Linked DNA regions of Diceros bicornis minor. The protein of the gene in region 2 interacts with the protein of the main gene of each other region in a biochemical or structural test. Links are inferred from orthologs where the notes say so. Each region holds a gene or a part of one and is shown on either strand. Other genes may lie near its edges.

Evidence for each region.
Region 1: the proteins of GABARAPL1 (region 2) and kelch repeat and BTB domain-containing protein 6 form a complex in vitro, tested with the Homo sapiens proteins (2 studies listed by BioGRID and IntAct, with this or other methods). The link is inferred for Diceros bicornis minor from reciprocal best matches to the Homo sapiens genes GABARAPL1 and KBTBD6.
Region 3: the proteins of GABARAPL1 (region 2) and TBC1D2B form a complex in vitro, tested with the Homo sapiens proteins (2 studies listed by BioGRID and IntAct). The link is inferred for Diceros bicornis minor from reciprocal best matches to the Homo sapiens genes GABARAPL1 and TBC1D2B.
Region 4: the proteins of GABARAPL1 (region 2) and STK3 form a complex in vitro, tested with the Homo sapiens proteins (2 studies listed by BioGRID and IntAct). The link is inferred for Diceros bicornis minor from reciprocal best matches to the Homo sapiens genes GABARAPL1 and STK3.

Annotation. Positions count from the first base shown.
Region 1 is NC_080748.1:35,166,905-35,174,976, forward strand, and holds the start of kelch repeat and BTB domain-containing protein 6, read left to right. Parts: upstream 1-4,884; 5' UTR 4,885-5,155; coding exon 5,156-7,165; 3' UTR 7,166-8,072. UniProt on the Homo sapiens protein: As part of the CUL3(KBTBD6/7) E3 ubiquitin ligase complex functions as a substrate adapter for the RAC1 guanine exchange factor (GEF) TIAM1, mediating its 'Lys-48' ubiquitination and proteasomal degradation.
Region 2 is NC_080756.1:51,971,535-51,979,708, reverse strand, and holds the start of GABARAPL1 (gamma-aminobutyric acid receptor-associated protein-like 1), read left to right. Parts: upstream 1-4,922; 5' UTR 4,923-5,112; coding exon 5,113-5,202; intron 5,203-8,174. UniProt on the Homo sapiens protein: Ubiquitin-like modifier that increases cell-surface expression of kappa-type opioid receptor through facilitating anterograde intracellular trafficking of the receptor. Involved in formation of autophagosomal vacuoles.
Region 3 is NC_080744.1:70,965,877-70,973,520, reverse strand, and holds the start of TBC1D2B (TBC1 domain family member 2B), read right to left. Parts: upstream 3,227-7,644; coding exon 2,870-3,226; intron 2,538-2,869; exon of another isoform or gene 2,471-2,537; intron 1-2,470. UniProt on the Homo sapiens protein: GTPase-activating protein that plays a role in the early steps of endocytosis.
Region 4 is NC_080760.1:17,574,415-17,581,775, reverse strand, and holds the start of STK3 (serine/threonine-protein kinase 3), read left to right. Parts: upstream 1-4,248; 5' UTR 4,249-4,345; coding exon 4,346-4,371; intron 4,372-7,361. UniProt on the Homo sapiens protein: Stress-activated, pro-apoptotic kinase which, following caspase-cleavage, enters the nucleus and induces chromatin condensation followed by internucleosomal DNA fragmentation.

The DNA.
Region 1 (8,072 bases), on a different chromosome or scaffold from region 2:
GGCATATAAGGAAGAGGCAATGGTGAAAAAGCTAGGGATCCATTCCAACAATAGCCAACCCATCCTAGAAACCCTCCGAGTTGTCTTTTGATCTAAGGGAAAGGGGAATTGATGATGATGTTAAAACGTTTAGGGGGCCGGCCCCGTGGCTTAGTGGTTAAGTGCGCGCGCTCTGCTGCTGGCGGCCCGGGTTCGGATCCCAGATGCGCACCGACGTGCTGCTTCTCCGGCCATGCTGAGGCCGCGTCCCACATACAGCAACTAGAAGGATGTGCAACCATGACATACAAGTATCTACTGGGGCTTTGGGGGGAAAATAAATAAATAAAATTATAAAAAAAACAAAAACGTTTAGGGGACAAAGTTTCCGCTTCAAGAGAGATATGTCCTAGATAATGCTCTTGAGGGGGCTGCATAACTGCATTTTGTCTTTAGAAACTTTATGTCTGTTGTGGGCAAAAGCTTATTGTAAATGAGTTGTCAAAACCAGGTGAACAGAGAAGAACGTTGTCTGCATACTTTATAAGGAGCAAGTCGCAGGGAAAGGTTCAATTTCTCAGGTTTGCATTTAGGGTCCTAGAGAAATAAGTAGAGGACTCAGTAAACCCCTGAGGCATGGCAGTCCACATGTATTGTTGATTCTTCCACGTGATGGCAAAAAAGATTGTGAGTCAGGGTGAAGAAGGATAGTAGGGGGAAAAAAAGCAGAACATAAGTTGAGACTGTAAAGTGATGGTGTTGGATGGGATATAGGCCAGACTGGTACTAGGGTTAGGAGCTAGAGGAAACCTGGGCTTAACTACTTAATCCTCACAAGTGTTGGACTAGCCAGTATCCCTTGCCATTAGGATTCTTTACTGGGGGGATTGAAGTATTACAGGATGTGTCAATAAGGCCTTGAATTATAGTTTGAAAACTTTGGAGGGCTTCTAGTTTTAGATATGTTATGGTAATCTTGGAAGTGGCATGGAAGGATCTATTTCTACTTCAGGAGGTTCAGCCTCCCTGATTTGGCCCACGTCAGTGGACTGAGCAGCCCAAAAGGAGTCAGGTATTTTAATTAACATAGTTTGTACTTAGGTGTTGGGGTTTTTACAGGGGCAGGAAAAGTCTGATGGTCAATGAGAGACACAAAAGAGCAATGATACATAAGCGTGGATTCAGAGGCTTCAAGGGTGAGGCACTTGGGAGAGCAAAGAATACTGATAATTCCAATTGGAAAGTAAATGCCTTCCCAGAATGTTTACGAGGATAGTGGAGCTAAGGAGAAAGCTATGCCAGTGGTGAGAGGTACTAGTGAGGCAGAGAGAGGTTTAGACAAAGGCAAGTCATGTGCTGGATTATCAAGTCCCACTGCAGGTATGGTTTGTGTACTCCAAGGGAGGATAGTGGGAAAATAAAGGCGTTTATATTAGTTTTGTGGGGCTGATATGGTACTTTGTTATGTACCACAGACTGGGTGGCTTACACAAAAGACATTTATCGTCTCATACTTGTGGAGGCAAGAAGTCCAAGATCAAGATGTCAGCAGGGTTAGTTCCTTCTGAAGGCTATAAGGGAAGGATCTGTTCTAGGCCTCTCTCCTTGGCTTGTAGATGGCTGTCTTCTCTCTGTGTCTCTCCACATCATCTTCCTTCTATGCATGTCTCTCTCTGTGTTTTAATTTCCCATTTTTATGAGGCACTAGTCATACTGGATTAGGGCCCACCCTAACGACCTCACTTTAACTTGTTTACCTCTGTAAAAACCCTATCTCCAAATAAGGTCACATTCTGAAGTACTAGGGGTTAGGGTTTCAATACATAAATTTTGGAGGAATACAAGTCAACTCATAACAGAGTTAATGGTGAAATCTTTGCCTCTGTGTCCCCGGGTGGGATGTCCACTGATGGTTATTATTTCCCCTTGCACCTTGAGAGCTGTGGACAAAAAAAGGAAGGTTTCTTGGAGGAAAGTCATTGAAGAGATGGATTTTTGGACTCTTGTTCACTTTTGTATTTTGAGGCCAGGCAACACCAAGTCCAGTGTCCCTTTTCTTTACAATATCTGCTTATCTCTATCTTTGGGAGTATTGGAGGGAGCAGATGATCCCGTTATTTCCTTCAAATTAAGTTGTAAAGTCATTAGTTTGCATTGTGTTGATTTGGCCTTTTCTGCAACCGAGTCCTCGTGATGTATTTCATGTGTATGTATTTCAGAGAGAGATCACTTCCCTAATTTACATTATGTTTTGGATAATGTCTCTAATTTCTGGCCATAGCCTTAATGAAGCTAATGACCAAGCTGGAAAGGGTTTAGTTGTAGCCCTTCCAAACATTTTCTAAACTATGTATATAGCTGGAGACAGATTCATCTGTTTGTTTTCTGCACTCTTGTATCTTTGACCAATCAATTTTTGAAGGAAGACAGTGGGAATGGATTCTAAAAGTCCTCTCCCCTGTGGTTTCAGCTGGTAGGAAAGCCTCAGGGGTGTTCTGATTTCTTTGAAGGTCTTCTTGAAGAGTGGCCCATTTGGCTTTTCAAACAATAAAGTGGCATCTCCGGGACCCATAAGTAGTTCCACAAGTTGATATAAATCAATGGATCCCAGGAGAATATACCCCAAGCATCAGTCTGAATTGATCACTAGATTCTTCCCTATTCTTATGGGGGTCCAGAAAGACTTTAACAGTAACATGTAAATCTGAGCAAGATCAAGGATTAAAGAATACTTGTTCAGGTGGGTGCTCAGGTCACAGACCTTCTTTCACAGGTGGGGAACGACCAATAATAAGGGTTAGGATGGGGAGTTGGGGGCAAAGTAGTTTAATGGAGGCAGGGAGGGGTAAAGAGGAAGAATAGAGACAGAAGGAAGAAAGAATCCACAGGAAAAGGAGGAATAGTGGGAAGGAGAAAGGGCTGGGTTGGTCACATGATAAATTCTGGGTGAGGACAGGGTCATGAGATTGGACTGATGGTAAAAGAGACAGTCCTTAGGAGACGTTACAGTTTGAGATAGACTGGAGACTTTCTTATTTTTCAGCCTCCACATACCAAGCAAAATAAGCTGACCATTGGGGAGAAAAGATCTTCGAGTCCCAAGGTTTGAGGGCATCTTATACCTAGACAGGCTTAGGGAGATTCCAAGTGTCCCAAAGGGGCCACTGGAATTATAAGTTGTCCTCAGTAAAATCCTGCCATTTTTGGAGGTAATGATCTGAATTTTCACCTTAGTGGTGAAGCATATAATTGGTGGGAATTTTGAAGAGCACTGAGAAGTGGGTTGAGGGTTTCCCATAACACTAAGATTAAACAATAGCTAGCAACAAAACCAAACCAAAAGATGGCTCAGAGAACCAAAATCAAATCCTTACCATGCCACCATGGACAATTGTCTGGAGCACATGGATCAGGAGCTGGACTCACCACGAGATCCCCGAATCACCAGTCAGGGAAGTAGCACACAGGCTCGAGAGGCCTTAGTATCTAGGGGGAGAAGACGGGGGCCCAGAGGTGGGCTTCTAGTTTCATTTCAGTAATGGCACCAAACTGTCAAAAACCAAACAAGTAAGGAAATTTATTTTACTCAGACTATTGCAATATGGAGAATGGCTCAGATCTAAAGGCAATCAGTTCTGCCTTAGACCTTTATAGGGAGGAGTTAGACAAGTTATAGGAGGAGTGGTTTACAGTTAGGATTGCTTTTGTAACCAGGGAAAGTCTCAGTCAGTAAGCTGAATAGAAAATGTTTACCTTTGTGTCTAGCTGGTTTGGGCAGGCTTCTAATCTCAGTTAATCATTCATGAGACAAAGGAGTGGAAATTAGAGACCCTGTGTTGGGCCTTGTTGGCAGGTGCAGGCACAAATGGAAACCTCTGTGTTTAACCTTCTCACAGGTAAATAAGGGAGTCATCTGTGAGTCTTAGCATAGTCACAAGAAAGAGTGGACAATGAGTCTTATCTAAGTCAGATGGGAAAAGGTGGTTTGTTGTGATAAGCTATTTCCAAACACAATAGGGTGGGGAGATTCCGGGGAGGATAAAAAAGGTTGAGGGATTTCTTAAATATTACTCTTCTCCTGGAGCACAGGGATTAGGTAAAGTTCAAATTTTTAGGTTCAAGGTTAATTTATAAACTGTACACTTTAATTAATAATACTGTATTAAGTTCATCACTTGTAACAAATGCACACTCTAATGCAAGATGTTAATAATAGTGGAAACTATGAGGGGGTGGAGTATATGGGAGCTCCTTGTAACTTCCTGCTCGATTTTCCAGTAAACCCAAAACTGAGCTTAAAAATAAAATCTATTAATTAAAACAAAACAAAATGTAAACGGATCTCTGCAGAAACCTGCAGGGTTTTTAAATCTTTCCTAGAGTCTTATACTTTCTAATGAGTGCTTCATTTTTCATAAATGCTAGAAAAAAAGCTAAAATTTATTGAACCTTTATATTATAGGTACTGGGTAAGTACCATTCTACTAATCAACAAATAGTTATTCAGAGCATCCAATATATCCTATGCAATTTATCTCATTTAATCTTCACACAACGTTATGAAATACTATTGTTATTCACATTCTAAAAAACAGGAGACAGTTCTGAGAGAGAAGTCAAACAATAAATACTAGAACCGGCGGCTAATCTAGATTCAAAACCCAAAGTTCTAAACCATAAAAGCGAATCTAACCGAATTAGCCATTTCTAATTCCGTCAGCCGAAACAATGAACAGCCGATAAATCTCGCGATATTATTGAAACTACTACTCCCGACATGCAAAGCGGCTTCTGTCCATCAACCTATCCCCATAAGTCTGGAGGACCCCGGCAAGCCTCGAGGCGCGAAAGGCAACCTGGGAGCCGTAGTTCTCCTGGACACCTACCAGTTATTGCCAGCGCAGTGGAGGTGGCTCTCTTGGCTCTACCTGCAGGTCCTGCGAGGGCGAGCTGAGGTGGAGAAAGGGCGCAGACCTGGAAAAGGGTGAGTCAGGCACGGTCTACGTGGTAAAGGGAGGCGGCACCGCGGTATAGGGCTGAATTAAGTAAATGGACCTGTGCTGCAGTCTCTCCGGAGACACCACGATCTTAGCGCCGGCGAGAGGAGGGTGAGGAGGAGCCAGAGCCCGGTCCTTGCACCCGTCCTCGCCCTCGGCACCGCGCCGCCATCTCCACCATGCAGTCCCGGGAAGAAGCTCCGCGTTCTCGCCGCCTCGCCAGTCCCCGCGGAGGGAGGCGGCCCAAGAGGATTCACAAGCCATCCGTTTCGGCTTTTTTCACGGGCCCGGAGGAGCTGAAGGACACGGCCCATTCTGCAGCCCTGCTGGCACAGCTCAAGTCCTTCTACGATGCACGGCTGCTATGTGATGTGACCATCGAGGTGGTGACACCTGGCAGCGGGCCTGGCACAGGCCGCCTCTTCCCCTGCAACCGTAATGTGCTGGCTGCCGCGTGTCCCTACTTCAAGAGCATGTTCACCGGCGGCATGTACGAGAGCCAGCAGGCGAGCGTGACCATGCATGATGTGGATGCTGAGTCCTTCGAGGTCTTGGTTGACTACTGCTACACGGGTCGCGTGTCCCTGAGTGAAGCCAACGTGGAGCGCCTCTACGCGGCCTCCGACATGCTACAGCTGGAGTATGTGCGAGAAGCCTGTGCCTCCTTCCTAGCCCGCCGCCTAGACCTGGCCAACTGCACCGCCATCTTTAAGTTTGCCGACGCCTTTGGCCATCGCAAGCTGCGATCGCAGGCCCAGTCCTTTATAGCTCACAACTTCAAGCAGCTCAGTCAGATGGGTTCAGTTCGGGAGGAGACTCTGGCAGATCTGACCTTGGCCCAGCTGCTGACCGTCCTGCGCCTGGATAGTCTAAACATAGAGCATGAGCAGACTGTGTGTCACGTAGCTGTGCAGTGGTTGGAGGCAGCTCCTAAGGAGCGGGGTCCCAGCGCTGCAGAAGTCTTCAAGTGTGTCCGCTGGACACACTTCGCTGATGAAGATCAGCATTACCTAGAAGGGCTGTTGACCAAGCCCATTGTGAAGAAGCACTGTCCGGACCTTATTGAAGGGGCCATTCAGATACGATACGGTGACATGTTGTACAAGTCTGTGGTGCCTAAGTCAGAGGACAGCAGCAGCTCTGTTGTATCCGCAGCAGAAAATCCACCCCAGAGGCTAGGTGTGTGTGCCAAGGAGATGGTGATCTTCTTTGGACATCCCAGAGATCCCTTTCTATGCTGTGACCCATACACGGGGGATATTTACAAAGTGCCGTCGCCTTTAACCTGCCTTGCTCACACTAGGACTGTCACCACCTTAGCAGTCTGTGTTTCTCCAGACCATGACATCTATCTAGCTGCCCAGCCCAGGAAGGACCTCTGGGTATATAAACCAGCCCAGAATAGTTGGCAGCAACTTGCAGACCGCTTGCTCTGCCGTGAGGGCATGGATGTGGCATACCTCAATGGCTACATTTACATTTTGGGTGGGCGAGACCCTATTACCGGAGTTAAATTGAAGGAAGTGGAATGCTACAGTGTTCAGAGGAACCAGTGGGCGCTGGTGGCTCCACTACCCCATTCTTTTATATCCTTTGACCTAATGGTAATTCAGAACTATCTTTATGCTCTCAACAGTAAGCGCATGTTCTGCTATGATCCTAGCCATAATATGTGGCTGAAGTGTGTTTCTCTTAAGCGCAATGACTTTCAGGAAGCCTGTGTCTTCAATGATGAGATCTATTGTATCTGTGACATCCCGGTCATGAAGGTCTACAATCCAGTCAGAGGAGAATGGAGGCAGATAAATAATATTCCCTTGGTGTCAGAGACCAACAACTACCGAATTATCAATCATGGCCAAAAATTGTTGCTAATCACCTCGCGCACCCCACAGTGGAAAAAGAACCGGGTGACCGTGTATGAATATGACACTAGGGGAGACCAGTGGATTAATGTAGGTACCACGTTAGGCCTCTTCCAGTTTGATTCTAACTTTTTTTGCCTTTCAGCTCGTGTTTATCCTTCCTGCCTTGAATCTGGTCAGAGTTTCCTCACTGAGGAAGAGGATGTACCAAGTGAATCTAGTACTGAATGGGATTTAGGTGGGTTTAGTGAGCTGGACTCTGAGTCAGGAAGTTCAAGTTCTTTATCTGATGATGATTTGTGGGTTCAAGTAGCACCTCAGTGAAATGTACAGGACCAGCAGAGTTAGTTGTACATAGGCTGAAACACTAGATGTTTTTACTGCTTTGGAAAATATCTTAAAGAGATACCCTTTCCCTTTGCTGGAAAAAAAGTTGATTAATTTCAGGTTTAGTTTGGAAAGGGTATGGTTTGAAATAGTAATGTAATTTAATGTTACAGAATTTGAACGCTCAAATCAACCTATTTAATAATTTACTGTTCTAAAAGTCTAGTATTGATTTGATTGTTTAATATGTTTATGTTTGATTATACTAATTTAGTCTTCTCTTATTAAATCTTGCATTCTGTTGAGTGCCACAAGTATTGTAACTTGAATTTTAATTTTTCTCATAGAATACCAATTAGATAGGAATTACTAGATAGGGTTTTGAAAGAATGTATTTTCCTTCAGAACAGTGTAGTAGATTTCCAAAACTTTAAACTAGTGGATTTTTACAAAATGTGTTCTAACTTAAATATAGTTTGCTAAGTTTTAGTTTAGTTTCCTCCCCTTTTGTGAAGGAAAAAAGTACATATATGTTTAATGTGACTGAATGGTGATTTTATTTTTAATAATATACAGAATGGCTGTAAGCTCACTGAAAGTAAAAACAAACAAACAAACAGGAATCTACTGTTTTAAAAGAAATTGCAGTTTTAAATTTGTAATATAAAATGTGTATTTGCAAATCATGGCCAATTTTCCGTCTAAAAAATTCCATTCTAGTAGTGTCACCAATCATCTAAAAACCTTAAAGGAACAAACAGTGACTTGCTTTGTATGTTTATATTTTTTATCTATACTTGATAGATGCTTCATTGAATCAGAGGAATAATCCTTTTTTTTCACTGGACATGATTGTGTAAATTTTTATCCATTGTCTTAAAAAGTTTATGTAATTCTTAAAATA
Region 2 (8,174 bases):
AATAAGGCTGAAGCTCCTCCTGAGGCAGAGATCTTAACATCAAAATGAAGCAAAGGTAACTTTTGGACACTTCTCCGCCTGTCTGCGAAAGCTTCGCTCTTTGTGGTGGGATTTGGACTGGTTCAGGGCAGTTGGTGATTGCATCTGTCAACGTAACTGAAAAACAACTTTGAAAAACAGTCAAGTGCGTTTGGAACCTCCTTCAAGTTACTTGGGGCAGTTAGTCAGGGACAATAGGTTGGCATCTTTCTATGGAAGGCATTACATGTGAGCTTAAGCAGTCTGATCTCAATCCTGCATTCTATGAAAGCCATTGTAAGTTTTGAAGAGGGAAAATATCATATAACCTCCAGTTTCATTAATTTGCGCTAGTGACTCACAGAACTCATAGAAATATTTTACTCATGGAAGAGGTGCATAGGGCAAGGTATGTGGGGAGGAGTGTGGCGCTTCCATGCCCTTTCCCAGCACATCACTCATCCAGCCCTCCACATCTTCACCAACCTGGAAGCTCTCAGAACCCTGTCCTTTGGGGTTTGTATGGACGATTCATTCCATAAGGGTGATTGATTAGGTCATTGGCCATTGGTGATTGAACTCAATTTCCAGCCCCTTTCTTCTGGACAGGGGGTTGGGGGGCTTGGGACTGAAAGTTTCAACTCTCTAATCTCATGGGTGGTTCCTCTGGTGACTATCGCCCATCCTTAGGTTACCTAGATGCATTCCAACAGTCACTCATTAGCATCGCAAAAGACACCTTTATCCTCTCAACACTTAGGAAATTCCAAGGGTTTTAGGAGCTCTGTGCCAGGAATGGGGTAGCAGACCAAATATATATTTCCTATTATAAATCACAGTATCACTGGCTGCCTTAACTAAGTACCACAAATTGGATGGCTTAAACAACAGAAATTTATTGTCTCTCAGTTCTGGAGGCTAGATGTCTAAAATCGAGGTGTAGGCAGGGTTGGTTTCTTTTGAGAGCTGTGAGGGAGAATGTTTCATTCCTCTCTCCTAGCTTCTGGTAGCTTCTAGCATTCTTTGGCTTACAGATGGCATTCTTCCTGTGTCTTCACATCCCCTTTCCTTTATGCATGTCTGTCTCTGTGTCCAAATTTCCCCCTTTTCAGAAGGACACCAGTCATACTGGATTAAGGTCTACCCCAATGGCCTCATCTTAATTTGATCATCTGCAAAGACCCTATTTCCAAAGTCACATTCACAGATACAGGATAATACGTCAACCTCTTTTGGGGGGACATAATTCAACCCATGACACAGTTGTTTTGGTGGAGTTTCAGGAGACAGCAAAGATAAATGTATCTTCTTCAATCTGCCATTTTAAATCAGAAGTCTACCCTTTGCTCTTTTGACTATGACATACTGCACATTTTTTGAGTCTTTACTTTGTATCCAAAGCACTGAGGACAAAAATACAAGTAATATGCCATCATATAGCACAGAGTCTATTGGGAGAGACTACCTGAAACTAGGGACTTAAATGTCATTAGAACTCCCTCCAACTCTATCTTTATATCTCTCTCTAGACATATCTATATATCTTGCCTCTCTGAGTGTCATCTTCTTTACCTGTCTTTATCTTGGACTGGTGCATTTGGACTGCAAATTTGGACTGCATGAGACTAAAACAATGACTACTATAAGCCTCTGATTTTATATCATCCAAACTTCATCACCAAAGAGGGGGCTTACTTCCCTTAGTTTATATGTGGGAAATTCTAAGAAAAGATTCTGATTAGTCTTGTGTAAGTTACTTGGCCTTCTAAACGGTCAAGGCAGTGAGGGTCTATGATGGGTGGATCCCACTAGAAAAACTATGTGATGTCAGTGCAGAAGTAGTAGTTGCCTTCAAAACCATGTATATCTCTCCCCCAAAAACAATGAGAACTAATAGGTATCATATAATCTAATAAACAATACATCATTATAAGTGCAATGACAAAGATAAGCACACAATGCTTTGGAAGCACACTTGTTACCAAGCAACGGGCTTGTTCTGCTCACCGTGATTTGAGCCAATTAATCACAACTAGTTAGAGATTGAGAAAGGAAGCTTTTATTTGATTAGCCAGCATAATCAGAAGATGGGAGACTAATGTCTCAAATAAAGCCATCTTAAAGATTTACAGAATCTTGAGGCAGTTATATAGGGAAAATGGGCAGTAAAGACAGGGTTTAGAGATGCCGGCCTTCGACATGGGTCCCTCATTGTTCTTATCTTCTGTCAGTGATGATGAATATCCTACAGGTGTTCCTTCTTCCTGGAAGCCTTCTTATTCCTTGGGAAAATTTGTTAAGACTGTTAGGAACAAAGGTATCAGAGTACCTCAGCAGGGGTATGTGGAGAGGATCAGGGCCAGAAAATCATGAAAGCATGTAGTAATTTATAATAATCACACACTAGAAGGGTTTTAACTAGGAAAGGGTCATTTAGCATAACAAAGATGGCCTCACTTATGTTTACTTACACACAGAGGATACAGAAGGACCCAGGAAAATGAAATCAGAAAGATTTCCTGGAGAAGCTGATACCTGAACTAAACAATGAATGATTTATAGGAATTAGATAGAAAAAAATAGGAGGTAATATTTTCATAGGAGGAGCCTTTGAGAATATCCAATGGCCAGAACCAAGGGCAAGAAAGGGAAAGAAGTAAATTAAGTAACTTAGTATGCCTGGAACATATATGTTCTATATATGAGGCTAGAGAGAGAAATAGCAGCCAGAGCATAAGTACTCTATTTCTCTATTAAGGAATTTGAAATTTTCCCAAAGACTACAGAGAATCTCTGACCACTGAATGATGCTAAGAAAACACACAATGAAATATGGTTTTGTTATATTTATTCTGGCATCAGTGAACTTTTTCTTTCTCTTTTTCCTAAAAATGATACAAACAAAATTAAAGACTAATTAAGAAAGGGTTTGAGTAATAGTGGTGGTTTCAAAACACGTCCACAAATTCTTTAACATTCCTCTAATGGGGGGGGGGTCTATGGTCTATTCACCTGCTGAAGGACATCTTAATTGCTTCCAAGTTTTGGCAATTATGAATAAAACCGCTATAAACATCCTCGTGCAGGTTTCTATGTGGACAGAAATTTTCAGTTTCTTTGGGTAAATACTAAGGAGGATGATTTCTGTATCATGTCATAAGAGTATGTTTAGTTTTCTAAGAAACCACCAAACCGTCTTCTAAAGTGGCTGTACTATTTTCCACCCCTGTCAGCACTGAATGCGAGTTCCTGAAATGTGAGCTTTTTAATATAGTATTTTGTCTTTGGTTAAAAAAAGAATTTTGAAATATTTTTATCTGATTGTATTAATTTATAAAATTCCCTTCTGTATAATATTTTAAATGTTAGGCTGAGAATAAAGGTAGAGAGCAAACTTTGGAAGTTGACAGATTGGGTATTCTAAGATAAAGTATTAGCATTTAGAAAGGCCTTAAGACCAAAAAAGATTAACCAATATTGCATATCCAAATGATTTTTCATATATAAATTGCCACTGTGCCTAAGTATTTTTAAAATAAAAGTTAAAATCAGCATTTTAACTAGCTACAATTGTTTCCAGTCCATTGGAGGAGAAAACAAAATATTAATCTTCATCATAATTACTTTTCTCAACTCGTTGTAAAGTAGTCCTTTGAAAGATTTAGCTATATTTGATTCAAAGCTAAAATGACTGACAAGGAATTAAATAAACTATTTTCGATTTGAAAATAAGGACTAAAAATTATAAACATATTATAAAACACTTCTTGGATTTTCATACACAAAAAGGGCTGAAAGATGCCGTGGAGAAAAATAGTTAAGACCAAGAAGTAGGACTACGTAATTCATTTTCCTTGTTTCAATAATGAAACTTTGTTTTTTTGTGTGTGGGTTTGTTTTTTTTAAATCAGAGACATTGAAACCTTGATAAAAGATGATAGGTGTCCGGTTGCCGTTGTCCAATGTATATTTTTCAGAACTCCCTGGACTTGTTCAGGTCAAAGCAGGCCTTTCAGGTGGCACTTTTTATTCACATTAGGGACACTTAACCAGTAGTACTATCCTCAGGGGAAATTTTTGCAGAAGACAAAGGATGTTAGAGAACTACTGAGTTAATCACCTGAATTGCTTGCTATTTCCCTTTCCAGAAGACAGGCCCAACTCCTGGGTTAACAAGACCAAGTGAATCATCTCTATATTTGAACATGCGTGAAGCCCTTCGTATACGTGACTGACATCACGTCTCCGTACCTTGATTACACCTCATGCCCTTCACCTTATACATCTCTTCAAATTCCTGAGTCATGCTGTTTATGTTGCTGCTCTAGGAGCAAATTGCCGCATGGACCCAAACAAAATGACGCCAGCATCGTGGTGGGAGGGGTCACGGATACAGACAGCTCCTGAGGTGCCGGGCGGGTGAAATTGAACGGACAAAGGGCAAAATGCAAGCAAGGGGTATTTCTGCACTGGCCATAGGAATTCCAGGACCCCTATCCCTTCTTTTCCCAGACTCCACATCCCAACAAGCTGGAAAAAGCTGCATTTTCGCCCTCTGTATTTGTTTTTGGGCCCAACCAAGAAACAGCGAAGGAGAGGGAAACACATCTTTCGAAAAAAAATACTTTTTTGCTTTTAAAACCATCTTTAATGTCACAGTCACAATAAAAGAAGAAGTAAAATATTTCCATGTCCGCAATGGATTCTATTCAGGAAACCTTTACGTAGAGAGAATGCACTGACACGGAGGACGTGTCTGCGCACCCCCACGCCGCGCGGTCCGGAGCGCCGGGGGCGGGCTGAAGGGCGGAGCTCCGTGAGGTCACAGTGCCTACGCGCCGCGTTGTTTTTGTGTTCCCAGCTCTCGGGAAAGCCGCGGGGATTTCTTTACCTGGCCATCCCCTACCTCCGTACCAGGGGACCTGCGATCCCTTCTGAAAGCTCTGCCAGGCTGCGTCGCGAAGGGAGCTGACATTTCCGAAGCGATTCTGATACACACTGAAGTTCGGCGGAGGGAAGCAGGACGGGAGAGACGCCGTCATCAGCGAGGGAGGCAGGCCCCGTCCGGGGATCTTAGAAACCCTGCGGTCCATCATGAAGTTCCAGTATAAGGAGGACCATCCCTTTGAATATCGGAAAAAGGAAGGAGAAAAGATCCGGAAGAAATACCCGGACAGGGTCCCTGTGAGTGTAATGGAGTGCCGAGGGGGTGGGGGAGAGGATTAGCGGGGCCGGGGGCGTCGCGATGGCTGCCCTCAGGCGCAGAAGGGTGGTCCCTCAGTTACTTAACCCTGAACGCCCTTCGCTACCCGGAGAGCCAGTGGAATGGACGTTCTGACTGCGGACCTTTCAGAACCCATATCCCCAGGGCCCGTCCCCATCTTTAGAGCCGACTGCATCTCTAGAGCGGAGCCTGCTCTTGAGTGACTCAGCAGTATTCCGAAGCGATGTAGGTTGGGATGTGCTCCAAATGTGGCCCTTTTGTGCCAGAATGATTAGGCTGGGACCTTGGATTTGCTGCTTTTAAGATCACAGGGAAATTGTGGGAATAACTGACGCAATGGGGTTTGCTCCTATCGATTTCTGCCTTACGTGGTATTCCCTTAATCGAGTTGACTTTGGCCCTCGTAGCACTGGGGTTGGGAGGGAAAGGTTCGGAAGCAGGTGGGTCCTTTCTTTTATACTATGAAGATTAGGCAGGTAGGTGGGCGGCGGGGGGGCTCGTCACGAGACACGCCTGGCGGAGAAAACAAGGTCACGTTCTCTGCGCCACAGCCCGGTTGCCTCATCATTCCTGGCTCCAGGGCATGTGTGGGGGCAGCCAGCCTTCCTCCCGTTCTCATTCTGATCAGATTGTACCTACATACAATAGGGAAGGACTGAGGCCTTTTTCCTTCCGTTTTACACCCTGGTTTATGTAATTAAAACTAGTGTAGGCTGTGAGGAGGAACAGAGAAGAGATAATAAGGAATCTTGCTGCATCCGGGCGTTTTTCCCGTGTCCCACCCGCCCCTTGACTGGTTTTTCTGTAATGTGCGCTACACAGCCGGATTGGAGGGCAGGAAATTTAAGTGTGGTAATGAACAACAACCGTTGGATTTGGGAGATGGAAGAGCAGACACTTTAAGCTTGTGCTATTTATCTTCAGGCGGGAACGTTAGGATAAATATTACGTGCAAATTACAGGCAAAGGGATTGCGATTATCTGATGTCCTTTACTGACCCCCAGATTCTTGGGACTTCTCCATCCTTACCTGTCACGGTGCTACAGCTACCAGAAGCAACTTGGGCCTTAGGCCAGCAGTGGAAACCCCTTGCAGACCTTTTCCTATAAGGAGGAGGAGACATTAGGGCTGTTCCGTTCCCCAGCAATTGCAAACAAAGGGTCTTTGGCTAAAAAGGGGAGCTAGCCCTTTTACCCGGTAGAGGATCTTTCACAAATTGCTTTCCTGGTCTCTGGGCCTTGGATAACTGCTTTAAAAGTGTCCCTCAAGTCTGGTGATATACCAGTCCTACTTTCTTATCAGAATATTTAAAAGTGACAATTAACCTTTATTGATAGAATACTGTCACATACATGGTAAACTAAGTGCTCTTTCTTCATTCACTTACTCCTCACACCATTATAATCCCATTGTACAGAAGAAGGATCTGAAGCACAGAACAATGAAGTGACTTCCTGCAGGTTTCACATGGCTGGCGTGTGGTGGAGCCAGATTCCAACTGCCTTTTGGACCCTCCGTGTCATATCATTCCTCAATTTCTGACCCAGTTCTATTAAACAGTTAAGTGTGCGCTGTGGGCCTCACGCTGTTAGGTGTGGGAAATGGAGAAATAAAACTTTTGCTGCCCTCAAGCGTTCAGAGGATATGATGCCAGAAAGGTAACCCAGTCAGCGAAATGACTGTTTCTTCAGAACTATGACCTAAGCCACAAACTCTGAATTTTGCCAGTTCCTAAATCTAGTTAAAATTCCCATATATTTCCTCAAAACTGAGCCCTTCCCATTTCAGTCATTTACATGCATTCACCAGTATGTCAGCTAATCCCTCGTTTTTTTTCTGTTCATTGGTGTTAAATGTTTTACTTCTTTGATAATTTGTAAGCTGGTCTGACCGTCCCTCAGATCTCATGGTTCCCTCAGTTAGATTTTAACCAGTGGTAAGCTGCTCCTTAGGTGCTCAGCTGGTCACCTTTCTAGTTGTGACATAGGACGAGGAGCTCCGCCCTCTGAGTTCTGAGATTTGGTTCTAGTTCTGGGCAGAACCCTTAGTCTTGCTGTGCTGGCGTCCTATTCACAGGAAAGAGGGTTAGAGTACAAGATTTCTAAAGCCCCTTCCAGCTGGACTGTTGGTGTTATTAAAGCAGTCACATACCGTGACTGCTCACATCCTCAAGCTTAGCCCCAACACTGTCTCTTAGCTGCCATCCAAAGAATAGGTGTGCTTGTGCCTTGAGAGAGGAGGGTTTCATGGGATCTTGAAATTTTCTTAATAGCTACAGTGTATTGAAAACCTGCAACATAGCAAGAAACTGTCGGGAACAGATTGTCTATTTTTTTTAATTATTTTTTTTTTTTGGTGAGGAAGATTAGCCCTGAGCTAACTTTCATGCCAGTCCTCTTTTTGCTGAGGAAGACTGGCCCTGGCTAACATCTGTGCCCATCTTCCTCCACTTTATGTGGGACGCCGCCACAGCATGGCCTGACAAGCCGTACGTCGGTGCGCACTCGAGATCTGAACCCAGGCTGCCAGTGGTGGAGCGCGTGCACTTAAATGGCTAGGCCACGGGGCCGGCCCCAGGTTGTCTATTTTTTAAGATTCGTGAACAGCTCTGTGGTATATGAGCCACATTGCACAGATGAGGAAAACTGAGAAGCAAAGAGACAAAGCATCTAGCCCAGAGCCCACTGTAAGTGAGGAATAGAATTGGGATTTCTGGAAACCTAAATATCTTTTGGTAAACTGAGGCCTTAATGATTCTCCCCACCCCCAGTTTCTTTCCATATCTCGCCCTCCCCTCTGGATGTCTTATTTGCAGTCTGCTTTATTGCTCTCCTTTTCTGCTCCCTTCTTGCGGTTTCTGTCTCTTACTGATCCTTATTGGTCACAGCTGGTGCTACCAGGTGTGCGAGTTCCTGAGAGACCCGGTGCTAC
Region 3 (7,644 bases), on a different chromosome or scaffold from region 2:
AATAGAGAAGTTTACCAAGAAATTCCAGTATCAGCTTTCATTAAGACTCAAGCAGTAAAACGCTTTGGAAAAGCCCAATAAAACCACAGCTTCTCCCAAGAAGGCAGAGAGACACTTTAAAACAAGAAACATATGATAATACAATAAGTAAATTGCTGATTTTTCTTTTCTTTTCTCTTTAACTCATCTGTCAAAAGAAATAGTATCTGTAAAATTACATACAACTAGCTGAAGTTTGAGCAGGGCTTAATCCTCACTAGCCTAGAATCCCCCTCGGAAATCAGGGTGTCCCCTATGGCTGAGCAGCCCTTAAGTGAAGCAATAAAGCTTATGGGAATCAGTTCTTGGATCTGAAAGGTGAAAAGGAAAATAAATCACTAATTTCCACGCTTACCACCATAAAATTTTTACTCTCAAAGCTCAAAAGGAATCACCGTACACTAAAATGCATCCTTCTTAAAACGTACCCCTACTATGAAACCCTACATCCTGACTGCTCCTTTCTTTTGGAAAGCCTTGCCTGTGGTTCTATTTCCATTGTTTCTATAAAGCAGACCCTTGGCCTCAGGCATTCTGTCTTATTCTGTGACTAATTCAAATATTCCTGCAGAATCAGTAACCCATATGAAAATGGATTTCCTTTTTTCTTTAAAGAAATACTCTGAACATATAAAAAGATGGATAGAATAATATAACAACACTGGTGTACCTATCACCTGGTCCTAGAACTAAAACACTGCAAGGACAGTGGAAGCCCCTGGGCACCCATCCCCATTCACATTCTCCTCTATTCCCATCGGCAGGAACCACCATCCTGAATCAAGGGCTCATCACCCCACGCAGCTCTCCCACTCACCACACAGCATGTACATTTACGTGATCTTCTTAATCTTTACCTAAATGGTATCATTCTGTATGTACTCATTCTGTAACTTTATTTTTCTTGCTCAATTTTATGTTCATGAAAGTCATCCACATTGACACCTACAGCTCTCATCCCTTCGTGTTTACTGCTGCATAATACTCCCTTATAGGAATATACCACATATTTGGCCAAAGACACTGCTTGTGGTTTCATATGGCTGCTATTTAATGCCGACTCAGTGCCAGCCATTTTCCATAACGTTTTCCAGAATTCTCACAACCACCTAATGAGGAAGGTAAGATTCCCACTAGACCAAAGAGGAAACTGGGACAGAGAGGTGGTGTAACTTGCTCAACACATGTGAGTGGCAGACTCAGGCTGTAAGTTCAAGTCCACCCAACTCTAAAGCTACACTCCTGACACTGCACCTTGTAGCCCCACTTACGCAGATACCTCCATTATTTAATGTTTTTTAATTAAATATACAGGGCTCCAAAGTCACCTGAGAAAATCTGAAACAGGATGCTCTATTTTCTTTTTTAACAAACAATTTCACAGGAAATTCATCTGACACAGGAACAGTCCATGTATAGAGTGAGGACAAGCCTCTGCCTCTGGCAAAAGTCCCTGTGTACTCGCTGGAGGCATTCCTGAGTTTATATAAACGCTTTCTAAGTAAGCTCGAGTTGAACTGCAACCCTGCTTGGCTTCCTCTGGAGTAACAGGCTTTCTGTGCCCACTTAGAGACGGGATGGAGGAGCCTGAAAGAACATGGGAATCAGAATCTGCGGGAAATGGAAACAGCTGAGTTGACAAAGCTCTAAGAACGACCCCAGGGAGCAGCTCCAGCTGCTGCCAGCTCCGGAGGTCCCAGGGAATAGTCCTGTGCTCACAAGGCCAGAGCGCTAGGCACAGCCCACTTTGCTCTCCACTTGGCCAGCTTTGCAGAGAGCATTCACACATCCCAGCCCAGCCCTGCTGCTCTGGAGAAAGCCCAGCTTGCAATACGGAAGGGAAGCAAGAAAGACGAGCGAGGGTGGAGGCTCACAGGAACCAGGCAGGGAGCAAGGCTGGGAGAGATGTGACCAGCTCGGGGACAGGGCCCAGATCTCCAGGTGCTCAAAGCAGGAGAGTCACCAGGAGGTGAAGGGGCCTAACCCTCTAGGAACTCCCAAAGACAGGGGAGGCCTCTCAGCACCAGGACCAGGACTTCTGACTCTAGCCCCCTGCCTCTATACTTTATCTCCCACACTGTGTCTCTCTGCGAAAAGATTAAGGAACCTCGAATGAGCAAGGCAGAAATGGCTGAGGCAATCCTTTCCCACCTCTCCCAGCCAAAATAAGGAGCAAGAAAACAGGCTCTGCCACTTACTGGCTGTGTGACCTTAGCTGGAGAGACCCTGCCTACTCTGGAGGAGACTGCAGTGGATTATCTCTAAGGGCTCTGCCATCTCTGACTCTCTGTCCATAGCACTGAATGCAATAACATTTACCGAGCAGTTTAGAGTATAGTTCATTTAATCCCAACACTCTTACAAGATAGATACTACTGGTATCCCCATTTTACAGAGGCGGCAGCTGAAACAGAGAGGTTAAATAACTTACTCAAAGTCACGAAGCCTACAGTCACGGATGCCTCGGAGGGATGCACAGGACATCGACAGGATGGGGGCTGGGGGCGACACAAGAGTGGGGCCTGAGGGTAGGCTGAGGGAGATAATGGGTCAAAGTGTCTGAGGAAGGGAGACGGGACTGAGCAGCCCTCTGGCCTAAGCCTAGGTCCTTAGGGCATGAGTTGGGGGCACAGGGACAGTGTCTGGGGAAGAAGCGGGGAAAGGAAGGCAGACTACGGAAAGGAGGCTGCAGGGAGAAAGTCCGATGGGCATAGCTAGGCTGGCTGGGGTCGGGGGCGGCTCCGGAGGCTAAGAAAAGGAGCGGGCTAAAGGGCGTATGAGCGGGTTCTGCGGGTCCGGGTGCCGGGCTTCGGGGCGCGCGCGTTCCCACCTTGAGCACCGTGACGGCTCCCGCGCTGTGCACCTGGAAGTGAGCTGGCGGCTCGGCGCCGGGCTCCGCCGCTTCGTCGGGGCCCTGGTAGCTGAAGCAGGCGTCCGCGATGTCCAGGTGGCCGAGGGGTATCGCGTCCTGCGGGCTCTTGAAGTAGTAGAGGTAGCAGCGTCGCGCGTCGAACACGAACCAGCGGCTGCGGTAGCCGCGCAGCGGGCCCTTGCCGGACAGCTTCTGCAGGTAGCCGCACAGCCGCGCTGGCTCCCGCCCGGGCCCCGCCCCAGGCTCCGCCGCGGCCCCCGGGGCCGCGCCCTCACCGCCGCTGCCCTCCTCCGCCCGGGCCCCGGGCCCCGGCATCGCTAGCCAGCGCGCCAACCGCCACTGCCCGGGCCCTCGCGCCTCCTCGCCGCCGCCGGCGCTGCGCCCCCTCCCACAGCCCCGCCGCTCCGCACGGCCTGCGGGCGCGCAAAGCAGCCTGGGACGTGTAGTCCCGCCCCCGCCCGCCCCCGGGAGCCCCCGCCCTAGCCCCATCTCCAGCCCCAGCTCCCGGTTCCCAAGCGTCTCAGAGGTGAGGTCTGGGCGGGTTGCCCCTGCGCCTCATTGCCTTCGTGTAACATGAGGCTCAGAACCCTGCGCTGCCAGGGTGAAACATTGTTCTATTTCTTTACAGGAGTGTGGGTTACACGGGAGTGTGCATTTCTCAAAATCCATCAGAGTGTCCCCTTAAAACTGCATTTCATTGTATGTAAATTATACCTCAATACAAAACTTTATTTTTAAATCTCTGCCCTGCGAAAATCACGGGCTAATACGAAAATGAGAGAGCCTATTGCCCTGCGCGGAGTGGGTGCTCAGTAAATATTTGCAGAATGCATGAATGAAAGTGTAAGTATTTCCCATCTCTTCAGTTCCTTCACTGAATTCAACAAATGTTTATTGAGCGCCTTCTGTGTGTCAGGTACAGTTCCAGACCCTGAAGGATACAGCAGTGAACGAGCCAATCATTTCCCTTCCTCATGGAGATGATATTCTAGTGAGAGAGAGATAACACCCACCCACCCACCCACCCACCCACCCACACACACACACACACAAGCAGATAAATATATACTGTTATATGAATGCTGTGATGAGATTTAAATAAGGATTACCACTTAAATAGCACTTATTACTTGCCAGTGCTTTATAAATTAATTCATTTGAACTCTCACAATTACTTCAAGAGTCAATTACTATTGTTTCACAATAAAGTAAGAGGACGGGGTGATAGAGGGCAGGAGTGGCAAGCTGTTCCACAAGTACAGGAAGCCCCTCTGAGGAGGTTGCCTGGAGCAGAGACCTGGATGATGTGAGGGAACAAGCCTGCAAAGATCCGAGGGGGGAAACATTCCAGGCAGAGGTGACAGCAAGTACAAAAGCTCGCAAAGGCAAAATGGTGGTTATACCTACCTTTGTGAAAGGGCTAGATCAAGACAAATATCTCACCTTCTTCGTTTTGCATGTTTTTACAAGACACACTAATAGACACAGGTAGAAATCAGGCTTTCTGAGATGGACAGGGACACCAAATTAGACTGTCTGCCTGGAACCAGACAGGTAGGAAGGGTGAGGTCCCGGGGCCTCACCCCACCAGCCAGCCGTGTTAGCTTCCAGGTGTTCATCAAGGGTGAACCAAGGTGTTCGTCAAGGGGCCCATCAAGTGTGCCTCCACCTTAATGCCCTTCAGTTCTCTTTGAGCATGATACTGCGCAGTATTAAGAGCTGGCCTCTGGAGCCAGACTCATGAGATTTGTCTCCCAGCTCTGCCACTAACCAGAGGTATGACCTTGGGCAAGATATTTAACCTCTCTGAGCCTCAGTCTCTTCATCTATAAAATGGGGATAATACAAGTGGCTACCTCATACCATTGTTCTTGTAAGGGTTACATGAGAAATGCATGTGAAAGTGCTTAGCACAGTGCCTAGCATATGGTAAGCACTCAATACGCATCAGCTATTATTATTATTGTTATTCTTGTACAGTTAACACTGATGCCCTCCTCAGAAGCTTCCAAAAAGGGAGATCTAGCAGTCAGACCAGGCCCCACATGTGGGAGGCCAGAGAATGCACTGTAGGAGTGGGGTGGGCCGCTGTGCGCAGTGAGGGAATGGAATTCAATTTGAGCCTCACCCTACGGGTAAGAGGGGCTGTGACTAATTGGCTTGTGGGGCAGCAGCCTGGGTGGGGTGTGACTGCGAATCCTATGGAAAGGGGAAGAGCTGGGAGAACTGGGTCTGTACAGCTATAGTACTGGGACGCTGCAGGGTAGGGGCAGGGAACAGCCCATCTCTGTCCTCTGCTCTATCAGTGAGTTGTGAGAAAGTGTGGGTGGCCGTGCCCTGTAGTCCTGGAGAAGTGAACTAAGCCTCGTAGGGTACTGTGTGGAGGCAGATATCTGCTAGACGTGAGGAAGTCATCCTTCACAGGCAGAGGGAGTGAGCCTCCTCCCTGGGGCAAGAGTCTGGGCTGGCTGACCGGGGCATGGCAGGTGGTACTGGACAGGAAACATCTACAGTCCCTCCTGCAGCCGATGTCTGTGCTTCTCAGCGGGCAAGCTGGGCCTCAAGCCTGACCCTCCTGTCCTTGAGCCTCCACTGCCTCCCCGGTCACCCACGGCAGAGGAGTGGGGCCATTTTAACATGCTTGCACGCCTTTGCCCTCTTCCTTTTGCAGGCCACACTCCACATCACATCAAACATTAAAATTGCCCACATCCCATAGTAAACATATATGTAATTTTCTAAAAGTGTTTGAAGGAATTTCTATAATTATGCTCTTGATATTATCTGACTATGAGGAATTCATTTTAATTTACAATTGGCTACAACCTCCTGGCAATCATCGTGTCTATGCAGGAATCCTGGCTGAGTAAGAAAAACCCGAACTACAAATTGTTTTTAAAGGGAATGACATTTTTATGATTACTGCGAAGTTGACATAATGTTACACTTTCCAGACATTCAATTAAATGTTTATTAATTTTGATTTTACTCTTTTTCTCAGGTTTTGGAGTCAATATATTTTTCTTAGGCTACAAACATTTCATAGGCCCTTTGAAAGCTGGTGGGCCCAAGCACTGGGCCTAGGATCTAAGGGATAAACTGGCCTGGCCCTTGCCTGGCTCTGGCCTGGACCAGAATGTGGCCCTCTGAGGAGGCTGCTCAGCCACAAACCCTGAGACCCCAGCTAGAGGGGCAGAGCACAGAGGCCTCAAAGCCGGCAGCAGCACCTCAGCAGGGGCCCTGGAGGCCTTGAGTCTCTGCCCACCTGGCCGGCAGGCTGAGCCCAGTAGAAGTGGCCCAAGCCTTCCAGGGCTCTGTCGGGCCTCCAGGACCAATCCCGAAACCCTCTCGGCCCTCCAGACCTCTCCCAGGTCCCCCTGCCCTGCCACGTCTCTCAGGGCCACTCTGGGATGCTGGTTATTTCATGAGCAAACCTTGCGTCGAATCGCCTCTCATCCCCATGAGCTGAAGGGGGCTAGAGGACGGGACTTCAGCTCGTCTCTCTTAGCACCTCTCCCATCTTCAATTTGGATAATTTTTATAGTTGATGTAAAATGGTAAACAAATGCAGCTTCAGTTTCCCCCCTTCTCTAACCAGATCATTCCCCTCAAGGCCCTGCTACATGGAAATTCTGGGGCTGCCTCTGGTGGCTCCTAATTCCTTGGAACACTTCTTAAATGACTTGTTGACATTTTGCAGTTCCTAAGGTCTCTTAGATTAAATGTCACAGTCCTGTGGTCAGGGGGCCAGCTTTACACAGAGTATGTACCTCCCCTGTGTCTAAAATGGGTGTGCTTGGTGCCAGAGGGTCTGCCCTGCATGCCCATGTGAGCCCCTGCCCCCTCAGTGACCAGAAGGAAGTGGCCAGTCCAGGAGGAAGTGGCTGCTGTTTACGGAAAAGGGGAAATTTGGGCAGTGAACTTGCTCCCACATGGTCAGTCTCTGGGCAAACCCCAGGGGGAACGCAGAGCCAGTGACTCATCCTAGGCCAGTTTCCCCAGAAAGGGACTTGATGAGAGGCCTCTTAAGAAGCACCCAGCCACACACTGCCCTCTGAGTCTCTCAGACCCCAAGGAGACAGAGCTGGCCAAGAAACTGACCTGCCACAGGAGGAGCTCGCAGTCCCGCAGGGAGCCCAGAGAGGAAAATAGACCTTCTCACCTGATACGCTGTGTGTCCTTAGGGGTGTCTGTGCCCTCTCTGGACTGCAGTTTCCCACCTGTCCAATAAGGGAATGGATGGCTGGGCAATCTCCAAGGGCCCTGCCCCTGCCTGCTCTGAAATGTATCAGTGGCATGAGGCACAGCTGTGAGGGCCTGTGGTCACTCTTCCTACAGCTCCCCAGACCACTGGAGGCTCTGCTCTTTTGAGCCTCCGTGCTCAAAGGCCTCTCGATTTTTCCGGCCATCCAAACTGACCTATCCCTTCCCTCAGGGATCTCTTCCATCCTACAGGCTTGGCCGCCCACTGTGGTTAGTGCGAGCACTACCACTTTGGGGTCACATATTTGCATCTTCCCTGGGCCCTGCTGGAGAAACTGCCCTAACCACCACCACCCACACATAAATGGCACAAATGGAGGCCTTCTGTCCCCGAGACCGAGTACAGGCAGAGATGGTGCCGTTATTTGGGGGTAGGAGACACAGTGCAATCCTGGCAGGGCCTTGCTAAACCCAGAGCACATCTGGAGGAAGTTGGCCTGGATGGGGAGGGGACTGGAGGTCATGGGGTG
Region 4 (7,361 bases), on a different chromosome or scaffold from region 2:
ACCCAATTTTGTTCTTCTCTTATGCTTCTCCTTGCCATATGCTTCAGGGAAGGCTGGTCCCAGTCCCAGCTCCAAGCCCAGCTCCATGGGGTGAATCACAATTGGTCTATAGAGGTTTTTGTAACCTCATTTCCTTTGCCAGCAATGAGTCTGTGACACACTCTGGCCAATAGGACATGAAGGGAAGTCTGCAGAGGGGCTTCTAGAATAGGTTTTCCCATCATCTTCAAAAGTGGTATTCAGAAAGAATGAACCCTCTTCTTTTGCTGGACACTGTCATGTGTCCAGGTGAACTTGGAACTTTGGCAGCCATCATTTGAGGGGAGGGAGGTAGGTTGAGGAGACCATGTTGTGCACAGCAGAGCAGGAAATGGAAGCAAATCAAAGAATTAATCAAACCTAGAAACATCTACCTCTAGGCTTCTTGTTTTAAAAATCATTTTGAGGTATTACTTGTAGTTAACTGATATGCTAGACTTTTGAGATGATAAATATGAATAAGATACTGTCCTTATTCCCAAGAGGCTTACAGTTTGGTCAGAGAAACAAATAAGCGAAACAGAAGTTTAGGATTGCTCTGAGAAAACAGGATAGTGTTTGAATTCAAATGCAACATGCTAGTTCCAAGCTAACTATAAAATTAAGCCAGAAAAGAGAAACAGATCAAGGGAAAACATTTTGTAAAGTTGCCTCTTGAAAGGAAATAATTCTGAATTTCCCTGCAAATAAAAAGTTACATAATGTAATATATTCTCTTTTCCCCAAACTCTTCCTCGTAATAGTAGAAAAGATAAGCAGTTGTTAATTAGTATTATTTTTCAAATAAATATGAGAAAAAAGAGTAATACAAACTTGCAGTTTCAATAAGTAGCAGCAACTAGTATAATAAGGAAAAAAATTTTTCTTACCTTAATATTTTTCTACTCATAAAACATGGTGGTATTTATTCAGTGACAACAAATGCAGTTTTGTTATTCTAAGGAACTGGGTCCCAAATTGCAGATTTCTCTCACATTTCTCTCAGAGCACGCAGTTGAGAATTCTGGTGAGCTGTTTGCTAGTATAATTAAAGTGCATACTTAACCTCCATTCCAGTTGGAACGGTTGGAAGCAGAAACAGATTATCCTGCTTTCACAGTTACGTGAAGCTGAGTGACTCTTACCTGTATCTCAGATTTTCCTATAGCTCTCAATTGTTCATGAATGCTGCTGCCTGTTGTTTGCAGGTTGAATGATGATTTCTATGCTTTCCTTCTTGGAATCTTCAGGCTAGCTTTCCACAGACAAATTGAAACAGAGACTTCAGGCTAATTTTTCTTTTCTGAGTAATTCAGTAAAAAAACAATTCCTTTCATTCAGTAACACATGACACACCAGGCACGATTGCCTCCGGCCTCAGCACTTCTTGTTCCTTGGTCTCAGTCTCCTCCCGTAGCCATGGGCATGGCTCTCCCCCACTTCCTCAGTCACCCTCTCACTGAGGCCTGCCCTGGCCACCCTATCTAAGTTTCATCCCTTCCCTTCCACTTCATATTCCCCTTCCCCAATTTATTTTTCTTCCTTACCAGTTTTCAGCACTAACATTATTGATTAGGTGCTTATTTACCTTATGTTTCCTCGACCAGAATGTAAATCTTATGAGAACAGGAATTTTTGTCTATTTGTCTATTCACTGATGAATCCTCAGCACCTAGAACAGTGCCTAGTATGCATAAGGGCTCAGTAAATATTTATTGACTGACTTACAGTGGGACAAGGCTTGGCTTTGGAAGTATAAAGGCCTGGGTTAGAATGCAGATTTTCTATTTGGCCTAGGGTTACTCTCTTCATCTCTTTGAACCTCAGTTTCTTTTTACCTATAAAATGGAAATAACTACCTAACAAGGTAGATTTAAGGGTTTGATGAGACAATGTAGCCAAGTATTTGACCTTATTGGAGTCATACAACCATTGTTAGCCGTCTCCCTTTTCAGACTGAGTGAAGACCTCAAAGGTTTATTTTCTGATATTATTCCTCCTCCTCCACAAACTTTCTTTATGGGTAACTATGTCAGGGTTCCATTAGGAAAAGTTTTTGAAGGTACACTCAAATTAGGGTCATTTGAGGAGGGTTGAGGTCTAGGGGAACATAGGGAATAGAGGAGGAATCTGGGGATTGGCAGACCAGTCACTACCCATAGGCCCACAGGGAGGAGAGGAAGCAAGAAGAGTTGGGCCCTAGACAACCTCACAGGAAGGGAACCAGGGGAATAAATAGCCTTATACTCCATTCTCCCTCAGATGATCTCCTGTTGGTCTCCCTATCATCAGACCCAACTATAAGCCAGAGAGCTGGGACTCCAAGGATGTCAGCTATACAGGTCAGCCCCTAGGGCAGAGAGCAGATGGAAAAGGATGGAGAGTGAATCTGGGGGGTGCAAAAGGAAGCTATCCAGCTTACTATGTGTAAGGCACTTGCTATGCAAGAGATAGAGAGAATAATGACCTGGTCTACTTCTCAACAAACTCACAGCTGGGTTGGAATGACAGTCAAATAAACAGAACTTCAATCAACTGTGATAAGTATCATGCAAAAGCCAGCACAGTGTGTTATGGGCACGTATAAGAAAGGCATCTCTTTCACAACTTCAGTGTCAAAGGTAGCGGGGTGGTGGTGCTGGTGATTTGACTGGGAAATGCTTCGTGGAGACTGAGGTTGGTAACATAATTCAGCATCCATTTTAAAGTATGTCTATTTGAGCCCATTTAAAAATATGGCAATTTTTTAAAAAGATGAAATTACCCTCTCTGAAAGAGATTTTTCTGATGAAATACAAGAATACGGGACTACGGCGTGGAAGTGAGGATGAGAGTGAGGGACAGATGAAACAATTTCAAATGTTCTTCCTAGCTTTAACATCTTAATGGTTTAGTTTTTTGTTGTCCTGTTACTTCTGAACTGTTAGACTGTAGATCTTTAATAAATCTAAATGAGTATAAAATTTTGTAATAATCTCTCTTGTTTACAGACTTTGACTAGGTTTCAACGATGAATGGTCTTAACGAATTTAACGTAACTAAATTTAGGGGGGAATATAATGGTTTGAAAATAAATCATGTAAATTTATTACATAGTGAAACAATGCAAAAAGAGGAATAACTGTTAATAGACAAGTTTAATTTGGGTTAATGTTCATAAAATTCCTTTATTCAACATTCTCTCCATATTCTTTGTTCTTATCTCTGAGAAAACTCTATATGACTCTACATCTTGATAAATTTCTAACAAAAACAAGCAAACTCATTACCTAGCAGCTGTATATGGTCATAAGCAAGATATCTATATATGGAATTTAAGGTAAAATGGCATATGCACAATATAGACACATGAAGGGGTCAAACGGCAATGGGGTAAGGGCCTTGGGAACAGGTTGGAGGGAGAGGGTGGCAAGAGAGAAGAAAACACATTTTTTTTGAGTGCTTTCCTATGCACTTTAATTTGCGATAGGTTTGCCGGGTTACCCAATTGAACAGCCGGCAAGACCACAGTGCACTGAATTTGGTGCACTGGGAGATCTCACTGCAGTAATTATTTTCTTTGTAATTAGATGTAATTATTGTGAAATGTATTGAGGAGCTTGTTCACAATCAACATCAAACAAGAATTTCCAGAAGTATCCCTGGTACTGTAGCTACAAATGTCAAATGGCTAGGAGAGAACATAACCAGTAATTACAAACAGAACTAGAGAGGGAAGCGTGGGCAGTTAGTAATACTTCAAACGGCTGTACAAGATGTTTGGGATGTATCCTTGAGAAAGCTAAAGAAATGAGTCAAATAGTATTGGGGTAAAAGCAATGAAGGCAACTGAGGGGCAGTAGCTCTAGGATAGCGCAAAGGAACAAGTCCCTGACCAGCACACAGCGGCTCTCGGTCCTGACTCGGCCTCGTCCTCTGGCTCTTCCAGTCTCCCCTCCTTATTTCCCCTCGCTGCACTACCGCCGGCCTCTCCCTCCGCCCCCGACTCCGCCTCCTCCCCAGCGCCTGGCTCCGCCCACCACGCCTGCACCGAGGCCTTTTCCGCCCACCCTCTCTGGACCGCCGCCGGCTCCGCCCCCCCCCCCCCCCGCGCCTGGCTCCGCCCACCCTTCCTGGACCCGGGCGGGCGGCGGAGGGGCGGGGCGCGCCGGGAGGAGCCGCGCTCCGGAGAGGGGTGGGGATCCGCTGCAGAGTTACGGGAAAGTTGGTCCGAGTTCCTGGAGTTTCCCTCTCTGGTTCCCCTGGCTCGGCCGGCCGGTGCCTCGGCCCCTTTCCTCCCACCGGCCTTTGCCGCCCACCAGGTCGCTCCTTCAGCCCCCTGGCCGCCATGGAGCAGCCGCCGGCGCCCAAAAGGTAAAGAACGCGGGGAGCGGGGAGAAGGAGGGAGGCGGCGCCGGCGGCCGCGGGGCAGGGGCGGCTAGGCCGGGCCGGACCGCGACCCCCTCCCCGGCTGCGGGGCCCCGAGGCGGGCGCGCCGAGAGTCGGGAGGCGGGTCCGAGTGCCGGCCGCGTCTGTCCACGGGGCGAGGGGGCCCGAGGGGAGGCCGAGCTCGCCTCCCCCGCGGCCGGCCGGGCCTGGTGCGCGTGGAGCGTCGGTGGGCAGCGCCGGGCTCCCCGCGGCCGGACTCTTGGGCGGGCAGTTTTCCCTTGTGGCAAGTTCACGAAGCCTGGGAGACGTAAACCTAGGAAATTATTGGGCTTCTTACAACTATGTTGGTTTTCTTCTCAAATGATTTTCATAATATTGCCTTTTTTGAGAAGGCGGATTGTTTATTTACAGTTTAAGGAATTAAATATTAATAGCTACACAGTCTGTAAACTTATTGTGAATATGTTGCGCTGACAGGTGTGCCTTCCCCTCCCTCAAGTTCAAAAGTATTTATGGATGCAAGACAGTAGGATTCTTAAATTAGAACCCCTCCCCCATATAGCTTTTTTTTTCTTTTAGCATGTAAAAATAGTGATGCTTTGGTATTTACTCTTAGTTTGGATTTAATCTTCGATATATTGGAAATGTCAGAGTACACCGTAGATACATTTGAACTAATATTTGAAGTGAGCTAAATCTAGGCTCTCCATTGATATGTGTTCATAATGTGCATCCCCCCCGCCCCCCCCCCGAAGAATGAATCAACTAACTGATGTTGGGTAAAACATCTAACCTCAGCCTTTCATTTTTAGTTTATAAAATAAGGGTACTAATCTCTCTCCCAGATAATGCTGTTGTGAAGTTTAAAGAGTTCTTGTTTTGATACCTAGAGATCTTTAGATGAAAGGTGGTGTATTCAAGAACACGAAATAATTTAAAAGGTAGGAACTTTGTGTGCTATTGTGAATTGTGTCACCAGACATGTGAGCCTCGAGGCCTGGAAACCATCTGTTCAGGTGCAAAAAGGGGAGTCGTGGAGAATTTTCTAAAAGATACCTGCTATCAGACAGACCCCTTGATAGATTTTTTTCTGACATTTCGTAAAGTGTCTGAATTCTCGTATTGACTGGGCACCCAGTTTTAATACTATAGAAGAAAATTGGAAACCTTTTTTTTTCTTTTCTGTTTTGGAAGGATTGTAAGGGGGCATCTCTGAGATAGTGCCATAAGGCCAATCTGAACAGCTCTGAATTGAAGTAGAAGCTCTCTCTATTGATTAGCTCTACTCTGAGCTATCAGAGTTTCATTATAGGTGTAAGAGAACCCCTGCCCTTGCGGGGACGTTAGAGAACCTGGAGGGGTCAGGGGGAGGCGTGGGTGGTGTATATCACCATTCTGTGGTGACTTATACTTTTCAAAATGGTGCTTGCACAGTTAACAGACTTATTTTTAGCTCTCTTCAGAGAGATTTATGTTGATCCAGGAAAGCATTTCTGAAGAGCAAAAGATATGTGACATTAATCCTTTATTTTTTAATATCTCTTAATATTTTTTCATAGTATTTTCATAATATCATTTAATCCTTCATAACATCATTTAATTCAATACTGTATTGAGTAGGTTGGATTACGGGCATTAATCTTGTTTTGTAGTTGAGGATGCTAAGTGAGTTTGCCACCTGGAAGGCTATGACTGGGATTACTCACAGTAATTTTTGTGTTGTCCCTATTGATCATTACCTTCTAATAATAAAATATAGCTACCATTTTTGAGGTCCTCCTGTTTGCCAGGAACTTTATATATACATTCCTTTATTTTAATGTCTTGAGAAATAGGAATCCTGGCTCTGCAATTTTCTGTGCTAAGTACTAAATTAAATTTTAATTCTTAATCTGTAAAATGTATTGTGAGGGTTAAATGAGGTCATGTGTTAAAAGCACTTAGCACAATGCTCCATAATGTGTCCAGTAATGTTAGTTGTTAGTTTATGTTTTCCTTATTAAATGAAGCTCAGAGAGGTCAAATAACTTGGTGAAGTGGAGGAGGTGCCAGAACTCTGGGTCTGATTGGCTGCAAAGGCTGTGAACCCTCTCATTGTGTACAGTGATGCCTCTTTTTCAAACACTCGCTTGCTTCCTTTGCGTTCCATGATGTGGTTGTCGTCTGTTTCTACAGTCTTCTGGTTCCCTTTGCTTGTTCTCTTCCTAATCCGTGTAAGAATGCCACTTTGCTTTTCTGCCTTGAGTAGCACTTCCTGAGGGCTCAGACATTTTTATGTGGCGATATTTATGTTGCTGATGTTCAACTCTGTATGACCAGCAGCTGCTGCTCAGTTGATATTTTTGATTTTTTCGTGTAAATCCACTCTTTTTTTGTGTGTGAGGAAGGTTAGCCCTGAGCTAAGCTAACATCCGATGCCAGTCCTCCTATTTTTGCTGAGGAAGATTGGCCCTGGGCTCACATCCATGCCCATCTCCCTCTACTTTATATGGGATGCCTCCACAGCATGGCTTGACAGGCAGTGCGTCGATCTGTGCCCGGGATCCAAACCTGCAAACCCCAGGCCGCCAGAGCGGAGCGCGTGCACTTAACTGCTGTGACACTGGGCCGACCCCTGCAAATCCACTGTTTCATTATCCCATCTAGTTTATCATTAGATCCTGTCAAATTTTCCATGAAAAAGTCTGTGGATTCATTTTTTTTTCCCATTTCATTTCCAATACAGAACTACTACCCCATTCCAGGGTTTTATGACCCTCACACTTGATTTACAGCAGTGCCTTCCAACTGGGCACTTTAGTCCAGTGGTTTTCAAAAATTTTTAACAGCGGAAACATTTTAACAGCAGAAAGGCTCTGTTTGGAGTAGGCGCCGGGCACCAGAACCTGGTTCCCTGCCCCTTACCTCCTTCTATTCCCCGCTTTGCTGTCCTACAGAACCTCTTAATAATCCATAGAATACTATTTGCTTTAGTT